2 linked regions of the Lonchura striata genome follow. The protein of the gene in region 1 purifies or fractionates together with the protein of each later gene. This does not show direct contact. Links are inferred from orthologs where the notes say so. Each region holds a gene or a part of one and is shown on either strand. Other genes may lie near its edges. The genes, in order: AKAP11 and PRKAR1A.

Region 1 (3,908 bases):
ACTTGAGTTAAATTTGAAACTATTATTCATTTACTATTTCTCCATCTCATAGGGACCTGCAGGACCTGGGAGCATGTGGAACATTTTATTTGTCTGACTTGTGGCAGAGTGAGACACAGTTTATAGCCAATCTTTCATTTATTTTATCTGTGTAGTTTTTGCATGGCTTTGTTGTACAGCTTAGTAGTTTTTAGGGTAAATGAAAATGTAGTTCACCTACCTGTTGGCAAAAATTAATATGGACCCCCTGACTTCTGAAGTGTCTAAAATGATTGTAGAGGTCATGAAAGATAAATGAGAAAGAAAAGCCACAGCTTAAAAACAGCAGGTAGGCAGAAGCAGGAATTATCTAGAAGATTAAGGGAGAGTCAGTAGCAAAAAAAATTCTCATCGTTTTTATAGGTCTTAGGTGGTATCCAGAAGAAAAGTGCAATTTATGAGGGGGTTAGGGTAGTTCTCTTTGTCTTTTTCTCTGTAAAATTCGGTAGGTTAGAGCTTAAAACCACTCAGCACCGAAAAAAATACATTCTTTTAATTTAATGACTTTTTTCTTCCCTAACCCCTTCCCTAGTAAACGAAGTTTGGGAGATTATATATATATATATATATATATATATATATATTTTATATATATATATATATATTTTTTTTTTCCCTGAATATAGCTTTGGGGTCACTTTGTTTTCTGCGTTGCAGAAGCTGCAGCAGGCACTCGCTGCCCCGTCTCCAGCTGCGGAACTCCGGCCGCCCCCAGCTTCACCCTCGCATGCGGCTCTCGGGAAGGCCTGTCCCGATTCCCGGAGTCTCTCCTCTGTGGGGGGACAGAGTTGTCAGCCCACGCTGCTGAGACGGTCCACTGTGCCTTATTCAACACATCTCCTGGCTGTGTCCCTGCTGCCAGGTTAGTGCCTGGACGAGCGGCTGCTGCTACTGGAATGGAGTTTTATGCTGGGAAGCTACACGAGATTACCGCTTCCATCCAAACGAGAAGAAATCCCAGGCCCCTACACCTACACGCACAGCAGAACAACTCACGAGGAGGTGAAAATCAATTGCCTATCTGCTGGCTAAATGCACACCTGGTGCCCTGGGGAATCCGGCAGCACTGAATTTAAGCCGGCACTGTGAAGGGAAGGCAGCACGGGATTTTCAGACAGGATCTCAGTCTTGTCCGCGCCTCGCCCGACTAAATCCAGGCCGCAGCCGCGTGCTGAGGCCGCCGGCCGGGCATGGAAGGGAACCCAGAACAAGTGGGCAGCAGCCCCCGACCCCGACGGAGGAAGCAGAACAGCCCGGCCCCCGGCAGGCACACGGCTCCCGGGGGCTTTGCCCATGCCGTGCCCGCGGCCGGGCACTCCCCGCGGGGGGGCTGGGATGGGCCGGGAGCCGGGCCGGGAGCCGGGGCAGGAACCGGGAGCCGGGAGCCCGTGCGCCGCCTCGGCTGCTTCCGGGTTGGCCGCCGTTTTCCCGCCAATGGGAGCGCGCGGCGGCGGCGGCAGCTGCGGGGGCGGGCCCGGGCGGGAAGCGTCGCGAGAGCGGGGCGGGGCGGGGCGGGGCGGGGCGGAGGGGGCGGGGCCCGGGCCGGGGCCGGGCGGGGGCGGCGGGGCCGGTCGGGCGCTCCGGGCCGCGCCGCTGCGGGGCCATGGCCGCGGGCGGCGGGCGCTGAGGAGGCGGCGGCGCTCCCGGCGACAGCCACAGGTACGCGGCGCCCGCTCTTCTTCCCACCCCCTGCGGTCGCTGCCCCGCGGGCCGCCCTGCTGGGGAGCTCGGGCGCAGGGCGGGGCGCCGCCGCCGGCCTGTCAGCTGGGGCTCGCTGCCACAGGTCGCCCGCGGGCTGCCGGGGAGCCGCATCCGCTGCCGCCCTTCCCAGGGAAGGGTCCCCTGGGGCAGCGCAGCTCCCGCGGGTGACGGGGAGCGGCCCGGGGGCGAGGCCGGGGTGACCCGAGCTGGGGAGGGGGCAGCGCAGCGCTTCGCTCCGGACCCAGCGTGCGGGCATCGCCGTCCCACGGCCCCGATGTCCCCGTGGGCCGGGATGTCGGTCCGCAGTCTCCGCTGGGAGCTGAGTGACTCGTGCTTGTGCAGTCCTAGTCCGTGCACGGAGGCTCCGTGAGCTCACGTTCCCTCCTGCATTGTTTGGGTTGCCGTCGGTGCGCACGGGTTAAGTAAGCTCAGCCTGCTCTCAACATTTCGCTGTAGAAGTGTCTCCTCGCCCTCCTTCCCTCCCTCCCTCCCGCCGCATGTCCTCCTCCCAGTTCCTCTTCTCCCCCAGGGGAGGAGAACAAGGAGCGTTCCTCCTTTGCTTTCTTGGCTCTTTTGAGGGGCTTTCTTTGGCTCTCTTATTACGACCAAAGTACTTTTCTCTGGTTTCCAAAAGAAATCCAGTATGCAAAAGGAAAAAAAAAGGGTTAGCTGTAGATCCGAACTGTATTTAAAGATACAGCCTTCTCTTCTCTGATGTATTGCCAGAGTGAGATAGGGAGGGAAGAATGCCACTTACATTGTATCTGAAAAAGATCAGTGATACTGAAATAAATGGTAACAATGTTCAAAATTTATTCAGGTTACACTTGGAAGAGTCATACATGGTTCATGTTTGTAAGATTTCAGAATCGTATAGTTAGATTTTAGTGGTGGTACTACCTATATTTAATTAATCCTTGAGAACTAAACAAGGTATTCTCTGGTGAAATTTTCTCTAGGTGGGAGTAAGTTTTCTTGAGAAAATGCTGCAGCTTAGAAAATAATAGCCCCACCTTACTGGATGTGGTTCTGTCATGTACAAAATAACAGACTGAAGTACAGAAACTTAAAGGTTAATTGCATAAGCCACAAAATCCAGACCAGTGGATAGCCCTAGTACATCAACATAACATTTTTTTTCCCAGGAAGTATTTAAGAGTCGAGACCCGGGACTGGGGGGAGGCTGTGGGTGATGACTAGCTAGTGATGATGTAGGAAAAGAAAATGATTGATTCTTTTGAAATTACTGCTTCTGTGTGACAGAAATACAATGTAAGAGAATTAAAACCAAGCAAGAAAAGGAGGACCCGGCCTGTCATTATTGCTTACCTAAATGGTGTATTTTGCTCACTTTTGATGTGTTTTGCTTTTGTTGTGGGTAGCTGTGGTTAAGACAACTTGTGTTTCATACCTGGACTTTCAAGACTGCTGACCTGATCAGTGAAACTGATAAATCATTAGAAATGATAAATAGAGAAGGATCCATTAGAATATTCTACCTGCTTGTCGGTGTAGACTTGCTTTATTTGGTTTTTAATAGCAATTGTTTGGTAAGGTTATAAATACACATGCAGGACAACCAGGGAATCAGGCCCAACCAATACAAATTTACAAAAGGAAGGTTCTGCTTGACTAATCTGATCTACTTCTATGACAAAGTCACCCACTTAGATGAGGGAAAGGCTGTAGATGATGTCTGTCTTGACTTCAGTAAGGTGTTTGACACCATCTCCCACTGCATCCTGCTAGAAAACCTGGCTGCTCATGGCTTGGGTGGGAGTACTCTTCTGTGGATAAAAAACTGGCTGGATGCACAGAGTGGTGGTGAATGGAGCTAAACCCTGCTGGAGGCCGGTCATTAGTGGTGTCCCCAGAGGTCAGTTCTGGGGCAAGTCCTGTTTAACATCTTTATTGGTGATCTGGACATGGGGATTGAGTGCACCCTCAGGAAGTCTGCTGACAGCACCAGGTTGGATGGGAGTGTTGAACTACTTGAGAGTAGGAGGGCTCTGTGTGTAGACCTGGACAGGCTGGATCAGTGGGCTGAGGCCAGTGGTATGAGGTTCAACAGGGCTGAGTGCTGGGTCTTGCACTTGGGTCACAACAACCCCACTCCATGCTGCAGGCTGTGGGGAGAGTGGCTGTAAAACTGTTTGGCAGAAAGGGAC
Region 2 (3,908 bases), on another chromosome or scaffold:
TTTAATATAAGAGCTAATAAACAAGAAACCCCTCAGCAGGTAGTTCCTGATGGCTTGTGTGTCACTGCACAAACAGCACAAACTTCTTATACCATAATATACATTAAACTGTTGCTGTTGAGAGTAATTTTCACTGTACTTTACGTGATTGCTGGCTGAAATGATGTAACATTAGAGTAAAAAGTTATGTTCTGCGTTGCAAGACCAGCAAATGCACAGTTCAGGGCTCATTTTTAGGGATTATTTCTCCTTCCTAAACCCAGAGATGGGCTATGCCTGTGCCAGCACAGTCCAGATATAAAAATCATTTAAATGATTTCTTACAGCTTGGAAGAGACAAAGTGAATGGAGTCAAAGGGCTCATCTCAGCTATAAAGACACATGGAATAATTTGTACACGGATTTACATTGATTATAGTGAAATCTTTGCCAAACTTGAGTATCGTTTATTTCCCTCAACCTATAACAATCTCTGATCTTTGAAGCGGGTCCTTTCCAGGAGAGTCGGTGTGGAGTTGATGCCCTGGCGGATCCCACTGCCCTCAGGGGATCCCTCTCCTCCCGACCATTCCTGCTCCCCTCAGAGGATCCCTCTCAGGGTTTCCCACTCCTCTCTGCCATTCCTTTTCACCTCAGGGTATCCCTCTCCCCTCAGCCATTCCCTCTCCTCAGCCATTCCCGTTTCCCTCAGGATATCCCTCTCCTCTCAGCCATTCCCGCTCCCCTCAGGGTATCCCTCTCCCCTCAACCATTCCCGCTCCCCTCAGGGTATCCCTCTCCCCTCAGCCATTCCCTCTCCCCTCAGCCATTCCCTCTCCCCTCAGGGTATCCCTCTCCCCTCAGCCATTCCCGCTCCCCTCAGCCATTCCCGCTCCCCTCAGCCATTCCCTCTCTCCTCAGGGTATCCCTCTCCCCTCAGCCATTCCCTCTCCCCTCAGCCATTCCCGCTCCCCTCAGCCATTCCCTCTCCCCTCAGCCATTCCCGCTCCCCTCAGGGTATCCCTCTCCCCTCAGCCATTCCCTCTCCCCTCAGGGTATCCCTCCCCCCTCAGCCATTCCCGCTCCCCTCAGGGTATCCCGCGCCCCTCAGCGGACCCCACACCCCACCCCGTTCCCGCCAGCCCCGCGCCCTTAAAGCTGCAAAGCTCCTCCCGCGCCGCTCCCCGGCCTGTGCCCGCGCCGCGCCCGCCGTTGCCCCTTTAAGGTTACCGCGGCGACGGGCCCGGGCGAGAGCGAGGCGCATTGACGTCAGGGCGGGCGGGGCCCGTCCGGCCGGTCGGTTTCCGGTGCCGCCGCTGCAGCGAGGCCGCGGCCGGGCCGGGACGGGCGGGGGGTCCCGGCGGAGCCGCCGCAGGTGAGCGGGGCGGGGGCAGCGGCCGGGCGGCCCCGGGGCGGCGGCGGGGCCGGGGCGCTACGAGAGCCGGGCGGGACGGGCGCGGAGCGGGAGGCTGCGGCCTTGGGGCGGGGCCGGCCCGGCGCGGCGGAGGGAGCGGAGCCGGGGCCGCGGCTCTGCGGGTGCCGTGGGGGCAGCGGCGCCTTCTCGGGCCAGTGTCCGAGGGGCCCCCGCGGGCTGTGGGGCCGGGCCCCGCGGCGCTCCCGGGCCTTTGTGCCGGCTGTGCCCCGCGGCCCCGTCCCCGCCCCGGGGGTACCGGGTCGGTGCCTGCCGGGTCTGGAGCGGCCGCAGCCCCGCGCCGCGTGAGGGACGGGCTGGGCTGGGCTGGGAGGGGCAGCCACGCCTTGGGGAGCTCGGGGAAGCTTTGGGGACGTGCAGAAAGAACGGCTTGTAGGAATAAATCCCGGAGTTTTCATTTTGTCCGTGATGCTGCATTTCCTGCACCGCTCCTGCCCTCCTGGCGTGGCCGTGGCCGCTCACGGAGCCACCGGGCTCGGTTCATTAGCGCTGACCTTCACCGGGCGGGCTGGCCAAACAAAAGGAGTCGCTGGAGAACTTCTCGTGGCTTTCTCAGCCCGTGGGAAGGCCACGCTTTGTGTTTATGCAACGCACAGTACACGTGTGTGTGTGTGTGTCCTTGAGCAGGGATTAAGCGTGACAATCACGACACCTGCGTGAAGTGTTGGTAATTCCATATTAAATCCAAGCCTTCTGTAATCTCCAGCAGCAGAATTCAGAGGGGCACGTTGTTTTGTTGTCTCTGTGCCCTGGGTTTTCCTGCTGCTTCCTCCGCAGGATAAAACCCATGATGTGACTTCAGTGACTTGTCATTTCTCAAAATTCTTTTGACTGAATTCATTTTTTCCCTTTCAAAAGCTGATCCCGGGATCAACATATCTTACTGCATATAAATAAGCTGTTGCCACACTCCCTGTAGCAGGTAACTTTCTTTATATTTCATCCAAAAATGCCCTGAGAAATTCTTTCCTGTTTCTTTAACTCTCCCAGTGTCAATTTTCTTATGAAAAAAATGATGTGAAATGTGTGTCTATATACATGTACACGTAAAAAAATATATCTTAAAATGGTTTTATAACCCTGTGGTGGGCCAAGCCAGGCTAGATGCTAAGCACCCACCAAAACTGCTCCATCACTACCCTCTTCAACTCAACAACAGAAGGAAAATATAAGGACAGGCTCCTGGACTGAGATAAGGGAGAGATCACTTACCACTTGCCATTGTGGGCAAAACAGACTCTACTCAGGGAAATTGATAATAAATTAAACTAACTAAATTGTAGTAGGATAATGAGAAATAAAGCTAAATCGTACAAACATCTTCCTGGCCCTCTCCCTTCTCTCCAGCTTTAACTTTACTCCTGATGTTCTCTGCCTTGCCTCACCTCAGAGGATGAGAATTGCAGTCAGTTCCTTACATGTTGTCTCTGCTGCTCCATCCTGCACACCTTCCCCCTGGGAGACAGTCCTCCATGGACTTCTCCAGTGTGAGTCCTTCCTGCAGGCTACTCTCCAGCCTGGTTTCCCTTCCATGGTCACAACTCCTGCCAGAAAACCATCCCAGGATAGGATTCCTGTGGGATCACACTCTGCATTCCCCTGCTCCAGTGTGGGGTCCTCCAGGGGCTGCAGATGGATCTCTGCTCCCTCTTTGGGTCTCCAGGGGCTGTCAGTGGATCTCTGCTCCCCCATGGATCTCCAGGAGCTGTGGGTGGGTCTCTGCTCCCCCATGGATCTCCAGGGGCTGTCAGTGGATCTCTGCTCCCCCATGGATCTCCAGGGGCTGTGGGTGGGTCTCTGCTCCCCCGTGGATCTCCAGGGGCTGTGGGTGAATCTGCTCCCCTGTGGATCTCCAGGGCACAGCTGCCTCACCATGGTCTGTATCACGGGCTGCCAGGGAATCCATGCTCCAGGGCCTGCAGCACCTCCTGCACTGACCCTGGGGACTGCAGGGCTGTTTTTCCCATTTATTGCCACTCACCTGTCTGGCTGAAGTAGCCATTTCTCCTCCCTCCTTAAGTACCTTGTCCCAGAGGCTCTGCCACTGTCACTGATGGGCCCAGCCTCGACCAGTGGCAGTTTCATGTTGGAGCTGTCTGGCATTGGCTCTGTTGGACATGGAGGAAGCAGCCAGCAGCTTCTCACAGACCCCCCCCTGTACCCCGTGCTACCAAAATCTGGAAGTAGAAACCCAGTACAAACTTGAAAGGGGAGAAAAATCTGCTTAAGAATATATTTCAAAGTATCATAGCTGAAGTCTTTCGAAAACCTGGCATCATAACAGATGTTTAAAGCTGTACTCTTCATTATTTACAGTTGAAGAGGTATTTTTGGGATTGCAGTGTGCCCATGAAATAAGCGATGAGGTATGAGCGGGTTTGAATTACACAGGAGCTTTTTAGGAGCGATGCCTGTAATCCATAACTTCCGTTAGCAAACTCTGCCCTGGCATTTTGGCTTTGGCTTCAACCTGAGCATGTTTCACTTCCGAATGCTG

What was found.
Region 2: the proteins of AKAP11 (region 1) and PRKAR1A purify together in Homo sapiens (affinity purification with mass spectrometry; 3 studies listed by BioGRID and IntAct, counting the BioPlex papers as one, with this or other methods). This does not show direct contact. The link is inferred for Lonchura striata from reciprocal best matches to the Homo sapiens genes AKAP11 and PRKAR1A.

What each region holds. Positions count from the first base shown.
Region 1 is NC_134604.1:59,682,111-59,686,018, forward strand, and holds the start of AKAP11 (A-kinase anchor protein 11), read left to right. Parts: upstream 1-1,590; 5' UTR 1,591-1,698; intron 1,699-3,908. UniProt on the Homo sapiens protein: Binds to type II regulatory subunits of protein kinase A and anchors/targets them.
Region 2 is NC_134621.1:9,548,950-9,552,857, forward strand, and holds the start of PRKAR1A (cAMP-dependent protein kinase type I-alpha regulatory subunit), read left to right. Parts: upstream 1-1,254; 5' UTR 1,255-1,354; intron 1,355-2,269; 5' UTR 2,270-2,333; intron 2,334-3,908. UniProt on the Homo sapiens protein: Regulatory subunit of the cAMP-dependent protein kinases involved in cAMP signaling in cells.